Oreochromis niloticus: one gene and its partners. The protein of the gene in region 3 purifies or fractionates together with the protein of the main gene of each other region. This does not show direct contact. Links are inferred from orthologs where the notes say so. Each region holds a gene or a part of one and is shown on either strand. Other genes may lie near its edges.

Region 1 (3,750 bases), on a different chromosome or scaffold from region 3:
CAAAAAAAAAAAATCAAGGCTGTATTTTAATTAAACTGGGGCGCAAATATTAAAGGAAATATTTTGCGTCTATATTACGCCTGTTTTTTTTTCTTTCTGTTTCTTTGCGGGAGAATGAAGGCAAGTGTTTGCTTGCTTGCACCGCGCTTCTTTTCTTCTCCCTCCATTCCTCAGCTCTTAGTTTTTTATTGACAGTGAGATTATTCTGGATCTTCTTCTCTCACCTCCAGCTGTCACTCAGCTTGCCAGCCAGAACATCAGCCCGTGGCATGCAGCGCCGTGTCGCGCCCCGAAGCACCGCTGCTGATACTCTTATTTGTCCCGGATCCAAGTAAAATTCTTTCGTAATCGCTGAGATATTCCAAAATCCGTCAGGCCCACCGGTTCATGTGGTTGAATAAAGTAGTCTAGTTATACGGACTGACAGTGTATCCTCAAGGCTGGATTAAGGTGGAGGAGACGGAGGAGGGGGTCCTCAAGGACTTTGCCAAAAGCTTCGTCGGTTTGTTTCAGCCTCATGTGCTGATATAGGGAGATTGTGTGTGTGTGTGTGTGTGTGTGTGTGAATCGCTGTGAAAGCGCACTTTTGAACTCACCTCAAACGATAAGGGCCTTAAATGCGTCCTGCTTTAATTTAGGCCTGCTGAGTCCCTGTTTTGAAGGGGAAGAGGGTTCATTTATTTGGCCGATTTCTGTTTTGTTGTCTTATGTTGCATTTTCTTAAATTGTTTTAAAACGAAATAAAGGCCAAACTGTGCATTTTGCCTTAAGGTTTTCAATAAGGTTTGTTGGACCATGCGTACTAGCCTATTTGATCCGGGGCCTTCCTACCTCTGTCCATATGTCGTATTATAAGAGTCTAAATAACTATTTAGAATGATGCAATATTCCTATTTGACTCTTTTGTTGTAATTTATTAAAAATAAACCCCTCAGTATTGTTATAGTTTATGTTTAATACTATGTTATAAAACTTTTTGGCACTAAGTAAAGGCTGCCACACTAGCTTCATTAGATGTGCTCTGTGCCACCCAGTGGTGATGAGCAGTTACTGCAGCGCATTCTGTCCTGCGCACCTCCGTTACACAATGTTTTTATTTTATTTTTTAATTAACTTATTTTGTCCAAGTTTGACACAGACCTCAGCTTTCAAACCACTTCAGAATCCTTGTAATTTACTACCCACCAAACAGCTCAGTGATTCAAAGGAAGAGGGGGTAACGTCTGAAAACCGGAAGCAAATACGAGCCACCGTTTGAGTGTTTCCTGTGACTAGCTCCCGATGCTACACGCGGGAAAACAGGCGAAGCTGCTGAGCACTGTCACAGTAAGAACTGAAGTTTTTTTAAACTCTGCATTCTCACTTCTATAGAAATTCATTTTTTGATAAGTGTAAGCAACGAGGGGAGTGCGTGGCGCACAATTAATTACTTTGAGCTACGTCGTTTGTTACAATAACTCCAAATATTTACATGATTTCTTTTTACCGGCCTAGTGTGGATGGAGCGCTGGATTTTAACTTAGGACCAGCCCAAGCGGGCGGCGTTCTAAGCGTGTTCCGTATGCAATGTGAGGATTCAGTTGAAAACGGTCCCACATCGTTGTATAAAAGAAGCGGTCCCTGTGCAGTTGAAGTTAGCCTAGCTATTGTTAGTGGCGCAGCATGGATGATATTTAGGGGTTGCTTCGAGAAACACAAAGACCCAATTGTCACTGAAACATTCACGCCATAAGATAACGATATTCGTAAAATTTCGCCGGGCAGAGCTTTCTTTTAATTGTTCATAGTTAGCTGTTAGCTGGCTCAGAACTTCACTCAGTGCTTTAAACACTAATAAACGGAAATATTAAATAACACGAAAAGACCCCAATTCAACACAAAGCTACTTTTACAGTTTGCACACTCACAGGATGGCTGCTTTCTGCCTCTCGGGTGTTTTGGCTCAGTCGCTGCTTGCTTGTTCATGTTTTCATCAACACCACACTACTTTCCCACCGTGAGGAGCAACAACAAAATGCAGACCCCAGCATGCCACAATCTGGGAATGGTTTTAAAACCATGCGTGCCATAAGCCTCGTTGTAGATGTTTGGTTGTATTTAATGCCGTTTCCTCCGTCTCTGTCTGTCTGTCTGTCTGTAGAGCATCAGTTATCGCCTGTAGCCAAAATGGGAGACACACTGGAGTTCAACGAGATCTACCAGGAGGTTAAAGGCTCCTGGGTAAGTATCTTCACCAGCCAGCTCTACTCTCAAATTCTCTTTCAGGGCTTCATTGCACTGTGTTTTGAAGTGGCATGGCAGACAAACATCAGCTCCTGTGCTCTTATTTGCAAATAAGCTGATGGGTCAGAGCAAAATTATTTGCAGTTCTGATTTCTTTTTTGTTTGTTTGTTTGTTTTTGCCTATTTGTGTCACTCATATTTTTCAAATCTTCAAACAGGTGTTAATATTAGAGAAAGATAACCTGAGTAAGTTAAAAAAAAATGCAGTTTTTAAAATGAGGATTTCATTTATTAAGGGAAAAAAAGCTACCCAAACCTGCCTGGCCCTGGTCCAGTTGCCTCCTAAACCCAATAACTGGTTGTGCCACGCTTGGGAGCAATAACTGGCAGTTGTACATCGCTTTGGAGGAATTTTGCAGTATTGTTTTATCTGCCACATTGGAAGGTTTTCAGTCACAAATGCGCTGTTTTAGATCGTGTCAAAGCAATTGGCAATCTCAATTGGATGTAAGTCCAGATTTGATTAGGCCTTTGATCATTTCAAGGTAGATTTGCTGGTGTCTTTCTAATCACATTGCCTGAGCTGAAGGGCACCAACTACTGGATGAGCATTCTCCTTAAGGACTTTCTGGTAAAGAGTGAAATTCATGGATCCATCAATTACAGCAAGTTGTGCTGATGCAGCAAAGCAGCCCCAGTCAGACCTTCCAAAAAGGGTAGCTTTTGTTTGGTCAATCCACCGAGTATTTTCCTAAAAGTCTTGGGAGATCATCAAAATGTTTTTGGCGAACGTGAGATGAGCCTTCGTTTTCTTTTTGGCTAGCAGTGGTTTTCACCCTGTAATGCTCCCAAGGATGCCATTTTTGCCTCTTGTCTCTTGTTTTTTTTTATTGTTCAGTCATGAATTCTGACCTTAACTGAGCCAAGTGAGGCCTGCAGTTCTTTAGATGATGCTCTGGGTGTTCTTTTGTGACCTACTAGATGGGTCGTTGATGCACTTTTGGAGTAATTTTTATAGTCCGACCACACCTGGCAAGGTTCAACACTGTTCCAAATTTTCTCCGTTTGTAGATAATGGCTCTCACTGTGGTTCACTGGAGTTCCAAAGCCTTAAAAATGACTTCATAAGCCTTTCCAGACTTATAGATGTCAGTTTTGGATCTTTTAGCCAACTACGATTTGTCAGACAGGTTTTATTTAAGTGATTTCTTAAGTAAACAGGTCTGGCAGTAATCAGGCCTCAGTGTGGCATTGAACTCAGCTCTCCAAAAATGTCGTTAATCACAGTTGATTCATGATTTAAGATGTGCCATATATGTTTGGATATTTTAGTTTTTTGTTTGTTTGTTTTTCTTAATAATTGAAATCATCATTTTAAAAATTGCATTTTGTATTTCCTTGGGTTATGTTTTTTATCTTATGTTACAATTTGGTAATCTGAAACATGTGTGACAAAATACTAAGAAGTCAGGAACAGGGAAAATTCTTTTCTATAGCACCGTATTATTGTATCATTACACAACAACC
Region 2 (3,750 bases), on a different chromosome or scaffold from region 3:
GCGTGGATCCAGCAGACCGATACGCATGTGCTCTTGCATCTTACTGGCCGGGATCTTCTCACCGGTAATGGGAGAGATGAGGTACTCGTCTGGAACTGCAACTGAGGGCTGAGGCTTGGATGCTGTTATGAAAAGGTAACATTAGTTAAAAAACAAAAACAAACACGTTGTACAAAGTAAAAACTTGCTCACATAACGAACAGTGTTACCTTTGGGGTCGTAGTCTTTGCGAATGATAACCTGATCTGGAGTTGGAGGCAGTGGAGGTGGCATGGGGGTGTCTGGTGGCAGTGGAGCCTTCATGCCATCATCATCATCATCAGATCCCTAAAGAAAGCAGCAGGGGATGAATCGATTTTGTTACAAGATCTTAAAGTTTTCTTCTTCTTTTTCTTTCTCCAAGCAGTGGGTTAGAAAAGATGTCATTTAATTAAAAGAAAAACATATAGTATCAAATCTATAACTGGTCAGACACGAACAGCTTACAATCCGCAGTAATTAATTACTCCATCCATTCTAACCTCATCCATGTCCTGCACTTGTGTGTCTTGATCAGGCTGTGAAGGCTGGCCTTCACCCCTATCCTCCCGCTCATCATCTTCACCCTCGCTCTCCACTTCCATCTCAACCTCCTCACTCTCTCCAAACTTCTCATAGCGCTCCTGGATCAGGATGCGAGCGCCGAGCTCCTCTGGTGTGGTAGGTGGTGGGAAGTGGCCTAAGGAAGTTGAGATGCCAATAAAGATTAAATGATTGTACCAATATTTAAAGGTGGGGGTTACTATTCAAAGATATAGTTACTGTGGTTATAATTACCTTGTTCATTAGGTTGGAAGTCCACCGTTTCGACCACTACAAAGTCATGCCAGTCGATTTGGGCATATGCTACTCGTTCCTTCTCCCTTTCCTCCTCCTCCTTCTTCCTCTCGCGCTCCTGGTACTTTGCCCATTCAACACGGTACCTTACCTGATGGTTGGACAACAGGACATATTACAAACATGGGAAAGAGCAAATGTAAACGGCTATTTTGAGAAGCAGTCACTGTTAAAACGGAATACCTGGTCCATAACCTCTTTTGGGTTCTCGGCTTCCTTCTTGAGTTTGGTCAGTAAGCCTTTGGGAGGGATCAGAATCTAAAGGATTAAAGGTAAGAATCAAGATAATGCTTAGAAAGTTTAGAATCACCACTTGAATAAATACACACCCAGAGAAGCCCAATCTGTTAAGTCACCTTAGTATACTGCTCCACCAGCTTGGTGAAGTAATTGAAAAGGCTGTGCTGTGGTCGCAAAAAGTCAAACTGGTAGTTCCTCTGTTCCTTCTGCATGAGCTGAGTGAGAAACTGGCGGCCATTGCGAGCAACAAACTGGGCAGTGAGCTTCACAACATCCAGGTCAAATGCTGAGATTGATGGAGGATCTGCAATGAACTCAAACTCGGGGGGAGGTTCTTTGGGGACCACTGTCTCCTGAATTACCTGTGACTGAACCTAAAGAAAAATGTAAAATATTAGTCAGGGTCAAAGACTACCAGTTTTATTTTGTAATTAAAAAAATAAAATAAAGTGCAAAGTGAAGTTCAATGACTTACTTTCTGAGGAAGCTGCTGGGACTGTTGCATAGCCTGCTGCATAACTTTGGGCACTGCTGCAGATGGCTCTTGAGCTTTCCCCTCCTTAAATTCATTGACTTTGTGGCGATAGTAGGCATGGTAGGGGTCATTCGGGTTGAGAAAGTTAAACTTTGGATTGTTGATCTCGTTCTGACGAATTCTTGCTTCAAATTCAGGCCCGTTCCTGTGAATTGGCAAGAATTAGTTATGCCATATACATGAAATCCGGTTACCTTTACATATTTAAAATGCTGCCACATATAAAATAACCAACCTTGCAACAAAGCTGGCTGTCTTGTCAACAATGTTTCGGACCTCGGGAGGTGGATAAATGATACCAACAATAGGTTTTGTGGCTGGGGTTTCTTCTGCTGTTGAATCATTCTGTTTCACAAAAGCACATTTGTTAGTTAGAATAAACCAAAGAAGGGTTAGATGGATAAATAAAAGAATAAGGTTCAAAAAAGAGAGTGGACCACTTAACATCCACCCGATTTTAAATCTTTTCCAACTACACCAAGTAATATTTCCCCTGCTCTACTACAATTTATAACACTCAAAGCATAGACAACATTTTGAAAAACTTTATATTTCGCTGTACTAGTCCACACAGGAGACTAATGAAATATACGGTAAAAACTACCAAGTGCTCTGATGAAAGTAGGTCGGTGAATTTTCTGCGTGAAAAAGTGTGGTTCTGTACAAAACACATTGATTCAAAGATCTGTTTTCAATTTAGCAAGTAACTTGCCGTTGTACTGAAGTGACAGCAAAGTCTCAGCTATTACCTTCAGGTTCAAACTGAGATTTTAGACGCTGTGTGTAGATTTACCATCAAAGGTAACTACGGGCTAGCAAGGTTTAATGCTGCGACCTCAAACGTTTAGCGAAAGAAAAAAAAGATAGACGCTACCTGTTCGCTAAATTCAAAAATCACAGAGACAGTTCAAAGTGTAGAAAGACAAAAATTAACCCAGTTCACAAGTTAGCCGAAAAAAAGCAAGCAGTATGTAGGCTGCACTGCTGGCATTAGCTAACTAGCAGCGGTACCCTTACCTTGTTGTTAGCCTCCGGCTGAACGATTTGAACAGGCCCAGGCGGCATGGCTGCGACTTATTGTAAAACTGGAAGTTACCTGCAAACACAAAACCAACAAGAAAAAAAATATGTATTTTAAACAATCCTTTTTAGCAAATGCTATGTCAACAATAAAGGCTACAGGAGCTAAAAGCTTAAAATTTACCGTGGTTAAACACACTTACTACGTCGCGCTTTCGTTGACCCAATGGAGATGAATTACTTCCGGAAATAACCCGCACAGCATTGTGGAACTTGGAGTACTTTTTTTGGATGTTGCCAAGGAGATGCGGTATCAACAGACTGCACAGTGTTTTTCAGAGCTGTGTCATTTATAAAATAGTTTGTCAGACATGAGTCAGTTGCTGGGTAGTCAGGACTGTATCGAAAGCCTCCGAAAAGACCTGGTTGACCTTCAGGGAGCGATTCTGGACGTGTTTTCTCGAACCGGACCGCTCCGCTTTTCTTCCTGGAAGTTCCCGGACAAGCACTCCTGTAATCTAGACATGGTAGCTCTGCTAGAGCAGTATGACTTTGTGGATGGGGAAGATGCGTTCAATCAGCACTCCCACATTGTTTTACTGGAGTTGGTGGTTGACAGGTAATACATAACAATGACAATTTTATTGTATAGCACATTTACATGAAAACTCAATGTGCCTAACACAGAAAATTAAGAAACATAAAAATGTTAGATGTTTTAATATTGTTATTTTTATTATATGCACAGTGAAAGAAAATCGCGGTTTACACTGTACAATGAAATTCTTATTTTGCCAGTTTCCCTGTTGTGCCCATGCCTTGTGGATGTTTGCAAACAGACCTGTACAAATTAGTGCAGTAGCAGATACTGATAGTACAGTAACAGCCAACAGTAGTGATGGTGTGGGAGAGGGGCAGTGCTGATTGTCTCATTCAGGAGTCCGATGGCCAACAGCTAGAAGCTATTTGAGAGAGTATTAGTGCTTGATTTCAGTCGCCTGTAGAATCTACCTGAGGGCAAAAGTGTGGAGAGGTGGTGGGTGTGTATTGTCTCTAAAAATGTTGTGAGCCCTTGTGAC
Region 3 (3,750 bases):
TTATTTTATTTTTATTTATTCATTAATTTATTCAAGACATTGCTGTATCGCATTACTTCATTATAAAAATCAGAAGGCTGCCATTTCACTCATCAAGGGCTCAAGTTTTCATCCTCCGTTTAATCCGTACTCACACATACACCGAATGAGGGAATGAAAACAATGGTAAAGAAAAAAAATAAACAGATGATGGCAGATGAAGCGAGCTTTACCTGTGGGTAGCAGATGAGCTGTCTGTAAAGATCTGCATCAAAGGACTGCACGTGGCGGCAGTTCACGTTCATCACAGGATCGCCGACGACGCTGATCTGTGGGACGAGAAGAGAAGCACGTTGTGTGATATTACGTCTTTGAATACAATCCCGCGCAACCGCCTCCTCCTGTATTCTCTAATTTCCTGGCTATTGTTCATCATTCAGAAACACCATCATGCAGTGCGAGTCTGACTTAAACACGTTTGGAGCAACACAAACAATAAAAATTGCACCTCCTCCAGCTTCTGCATGTATAACGGCTCGTTCAGGTCCAGACCAGCGTTCTCATCTTCAGTGGAGGTCGGGTCAACAAACCTCTGGAGAAACCTCTGGAAGCAGCGGAACGCAAAGCATGCCAATGTTAACTCATGGACTGCCTACATGAGATTTATTATGGGATTTAGCTGCCTCGGCTCAATACCTGAAACTTTTCCTTGCAGGTGCCGACATTCACATCAGTCCCCCAGATCACCAGCCTCTGCCCGGCGTTCGACTCGCTGGCCACGGCACCATCTGTGCTCGGCTGAGAGAAGACAGTGAATAGTTAACTTCTGAGGGTTCGGGCTTCATGTGAGCTCAATACATGACAAACACAAGATTACTGACCGGCTCAGAGTGAAGATCGACTTGGGGAGCCTTCCTGACCGATCCCAGATCAGGACGCTGCCTGGCTGGTGTGCCCCGCACTCCGCTCCGTGGGGTTCCCTCAATCCTGGAGCTGGGGGTCCCGTACATCAAGGGGGAGCTCATGTCCACCTCGTTAGGGGGCACTGTTAAAAGGAGGCAGATTTATAAAACAATCCAAGAATCCAAAATTTGAGTCCACAAGACCACAACAACTCAAACACGTCATACCCGAAGGTCGGGGGCTGGAGAGCAGAGACGTGTCCTGGGGTGCTGCAGGACTGAGCACGTCCGTGGCTGGGGAGGTGGGCATCGGCATCAGGTCCCCGGTGGAGGAGTCCTGACCTCTGCGGCGCTGAGAGGGAGGCGAGGTGGGGTCCTCGCTGCTGGCTAAAGTCGCACAGACACGAAGAAAAGTAGGCAACGGTCATCATACAATCACAGGAGGTCCATATGCAAAAGGTTGGAGCAAGTGGGGAACTTACGTGTGGGTGGATTGGTGTTCCTTCCACGCTTACGGCCACCAGGGGTTGAAGCTGGAGAAGACATTGCTGCTGGGAAATCAACAAAAGGTGACACTCAGTGAAGGAAATGTAATAACACTTGTTACATACTGTCGCTCTGGCTGTGGGACATCACTGATGGTGATGGCTTCAAGTTTGACTGAGCATTTGGAAAACTGACATTCACAGATGTGGCTGGCTGAAAAACTTTAATTATTTCCTTTTTGTTTTATTAGATCTTTTTTCAGCTTTGTGGAGAAAATGACATGAGATGGATATAAACTGTGGGCAGCCTGCTTTTCGCTACTTGGATACTTGGATCCATGTTATGAGTGTGTGCTTGAATCGCTTCCAGATATCAGTCAAACAGCAAGAAAAGTTCACTTAACTATATAAATGACACTTCCGGCACGCTGATATGCTACACTGCGTGTCTTTTTTAGAAGTTTTGAAGTGTCTTATTTTCACTAAAGCACTAACTGCATTAAACCCTCGACCTCCATTTGACATGTGGCTGCAGAGCACACAATAAGCTGATCCTCGACTGCGATGTTTTAACTTCGATTAACATTAAACGTCAGCGTAAAACAACAAAACACCTTCGTGCACGTTTAAGTCAACCTGATTCGCGTATCACGCTTTCACGAAACCACCAAAACTACCGACGTAATAACCTAAAAACTATCATTATACATGTCTCTTCTTACCCCTTCTTGTGTATACGTCCGAGCGGAGAAGATGTGGCGCGAAACTGCGGGTGACGTTATTTTCGCGGGGAACTTTGGGCCAATGAGAGGCTGGGATTGTCTTTCTTTTCTTTCCGGTCGATCCCTTCACCGAAAAAGGGGGGTTCTTGTCCAGCGTTTACTTATCCGGCTTCAGTTTAGCATCTTGTAGACTCAATAAACAAACGGATTAAATAGGAAATAAATAAATAAATGAACTTTTATTTTTTAATTTTGATATGTCAAATAAGATCTGCGTTTCCTGTGCGCTCATGTGCTCCTTCAAACCCTCAATCGATTTGGTTTGGCCCAGCAGTAAGGGACTTTTTTTTTGCCCCTGCCCTAATCTTTATTGTAACAATCCAAACAACACGCAAGTGTGAAACCGCCTCCCAAATACAAAATGACAGCAAATCCGTGACAGGCTACGGATGTAAAGATGTAGCATTTGAATTAATACAACAGCAGAAGCTAACCGGGAAATACTATTCACCCTCTTTTCCTAGTCTACATGCAGGATGTATGTTCACCCGGTTATGTTACAGCGGTGGTTGTACTGGTTTTCACTACAGTCAGAGGTACTCATGTAGGCCAGTGGGTGAGAAGAAACAGCTCTCAGTATGATGAGGTCCAGCGCATCCCACATTTTTGTGTTCACAGTAATGCACAGAAGTTTGTGTACACTCATTGTGGCCATGACTGTCATGATGATTTGGGGTTTTTAATGATTTCTTTAACTGATTTTTTCCCCTGTGTTGAATGATTGTACAGCATAAATCTTTAATGGCTCCACATGCACTCACTTAAATCTTTTTATAACTGGTACTGAAGGTTCTGCAGTGTCTTTTAACTCAACAAGGAAAGGGCCTATTAATTTCCCATTGTTGATTATGATCGACTATAAGTAGACAATGCTGACCAACGGAGAATCATTGATGGCTACCAAAAGCATCTGGGTGAGATGCAACTTGACATTTGACCAAATATTAGTAGGGCTGTATAGTATATCTGAGTCTGTATGTATACATTTGACCCTGGAAAATGAACAACTCAGAAATCATTAAAAACCCCAAATTCACCATGACATCAATGCCCATGATGAGCATATGCAAACTTCTGACTACAGATGTAGAGAAGGAGGACATGCAGAGGTTTGGCGTGACAGAGGAAGATGCTAGGGACAGGGTGAGATGGAGGCTGATGATTCACTGTGGTGACCCCTAAAGAGAGCAGCTAAAAGAAGAAAGCCTAAAAATAATTTGAATAATTTTACATGAGTTTAATACATTAAGTTATGTCATATAAAGCTAACAACTACAAAGCATCTGCACTTTTTGTGCTGGGTAAGCAAGTTTATGGCTTTGATCATGTTAGCACTTTCACCTGTATCCTCTCCATGAAGCACAGATTCAGATGCATTCATGTAGCTTTGATCTGCTTCACTCACAGTGAAACAGGTGGTGTACTCTGCACTGAGTCAGCTCCACCCTGACCAAGGAGAAGCAGAACTCCATTCTTCAGAGACATGCCCCACCCTCTGGTTTGCACAACATGCAGCAAAATAACGACCCCAGAAACACCTCAAACTCTACGAGAATACTTGCACACTAAAGTGTAAAGTTGAGGATTTTACTCCACAATCAC

What was found.
Region 1: the proteins of mcm4 (region 3) and ssrp1a purify together in Homo sapiens (affinity purification with mass spectrometry; 4 studies listed by BioGRID and IntAct, counting the BioPlex papers as one, with this or other methods). This does not show direct contact. The link is inferred for Oreochromis niloticus from reciprocal best matches to the Homo sapiens genes MCM4 and SSRP1.
Region 2: the proteins of mcm4 (region 3) and sf3a1 fractionate together in Homo sapiens (co-fractionation; 3 studies listed by BioGRID, with this or other methods). This does not show direct contact. The link is inferred for Oreochromis niloticus from reciprocal best matches to the Homo sapiens genes MCM4 and SF3A1.

What each region holds. Positions count from the first base shown.
Region 1 is NC_031966.2:22,487,803-22,491,552, reverse strand, and holds the start of ssrp1a (FACT complex subunit SSRP1a), read left to right. Parts: upstream 1-1,173; 5' UTR 1,174-1,326; intron 1,327-1,907; coding exon of another isoform or gene 1,908-1,965; exon of another isoform or gene 1,966-2,134; intron 2,135-2,140; 5' UTR 2,141-2,166; coding exon 2,167-2,220; intron 2,221-3,750. Other genes in the region: uncharacterized protein clcf1, read right to left, coding at 1,908-1,965. UniProt on the Homo sapiens protein: Component of the FACT complex, a general chromatin factor that acts to reorganize nucleosomes. The FACT complex is involved in multiple processes that require DNA as a template such as mRNA elongation, DNA replication and DNA repair.
Region 2 is NC_031977.2:11,771,756-11,775,505, reverse strand, and holds the start of sf3a1 (splicing factor 3A subunit 1), read right to left. Parts: upstream 2,998-3,750; 5' UTR 2,875-2,997; exon of another isoform or gene 2,856-2,874; intron 2,748-2,855; 5' UTR 2,717-2,747; coding exon 2,669-2,716; intron 1,997-2,668; coding exon 1,887-1,996; intron 1,797-1,886; coding exon 1,592-1,796; intron 1,491-1,591; coding exon 1,233-1,490; intron 1,135-1,232; coding exon 1,060-1,134; intron 968-1,059; coding exon 817-967; intron 719-816; coding exon 522-718; intron 328-521; coding exon 210-327; intron 123-209; coding exon 1-122. Other genes in the region: ccdc157 (coiled-coil domain-containing protein 157), read left to right, coding at 3,043-3,290. UniProt on the Homo sapiens protein: Component of the 17S U2 SnRNP complex of the spliceosome, a large ribonucleoprotein complex that removes introns from transcribed pre-mRNAs.
Region 3 is NC_031982.2:18,517,216-18,520,965, reverse strand, and holds the start of mcm4 (DNA replication licensing factor MCM4), read right to left. Parts: upstream 2,196-3,750; 5' UTR 2,089-2,195; intron 1,433-2,088; 5' UTR 1,428-1,432; coding exon 1,364-1,427; intron 1,269-1,363; coding exon 1,110-1,268; intron 1,025-1,109; coding exon 861-1,024; intron 778-860; coding exon 676-777; intron 584-675; coding exon 488-583; intron 309-487; coding exon 213-308; intron 1-212. UniProt on the Homo sapiens protein: Acts as a component of the MCM2-7 complex (MCM complex) which is the replicative helicase essential for 'once per cell cycle' DNA replication initiation and elongation in eukaryotic cells.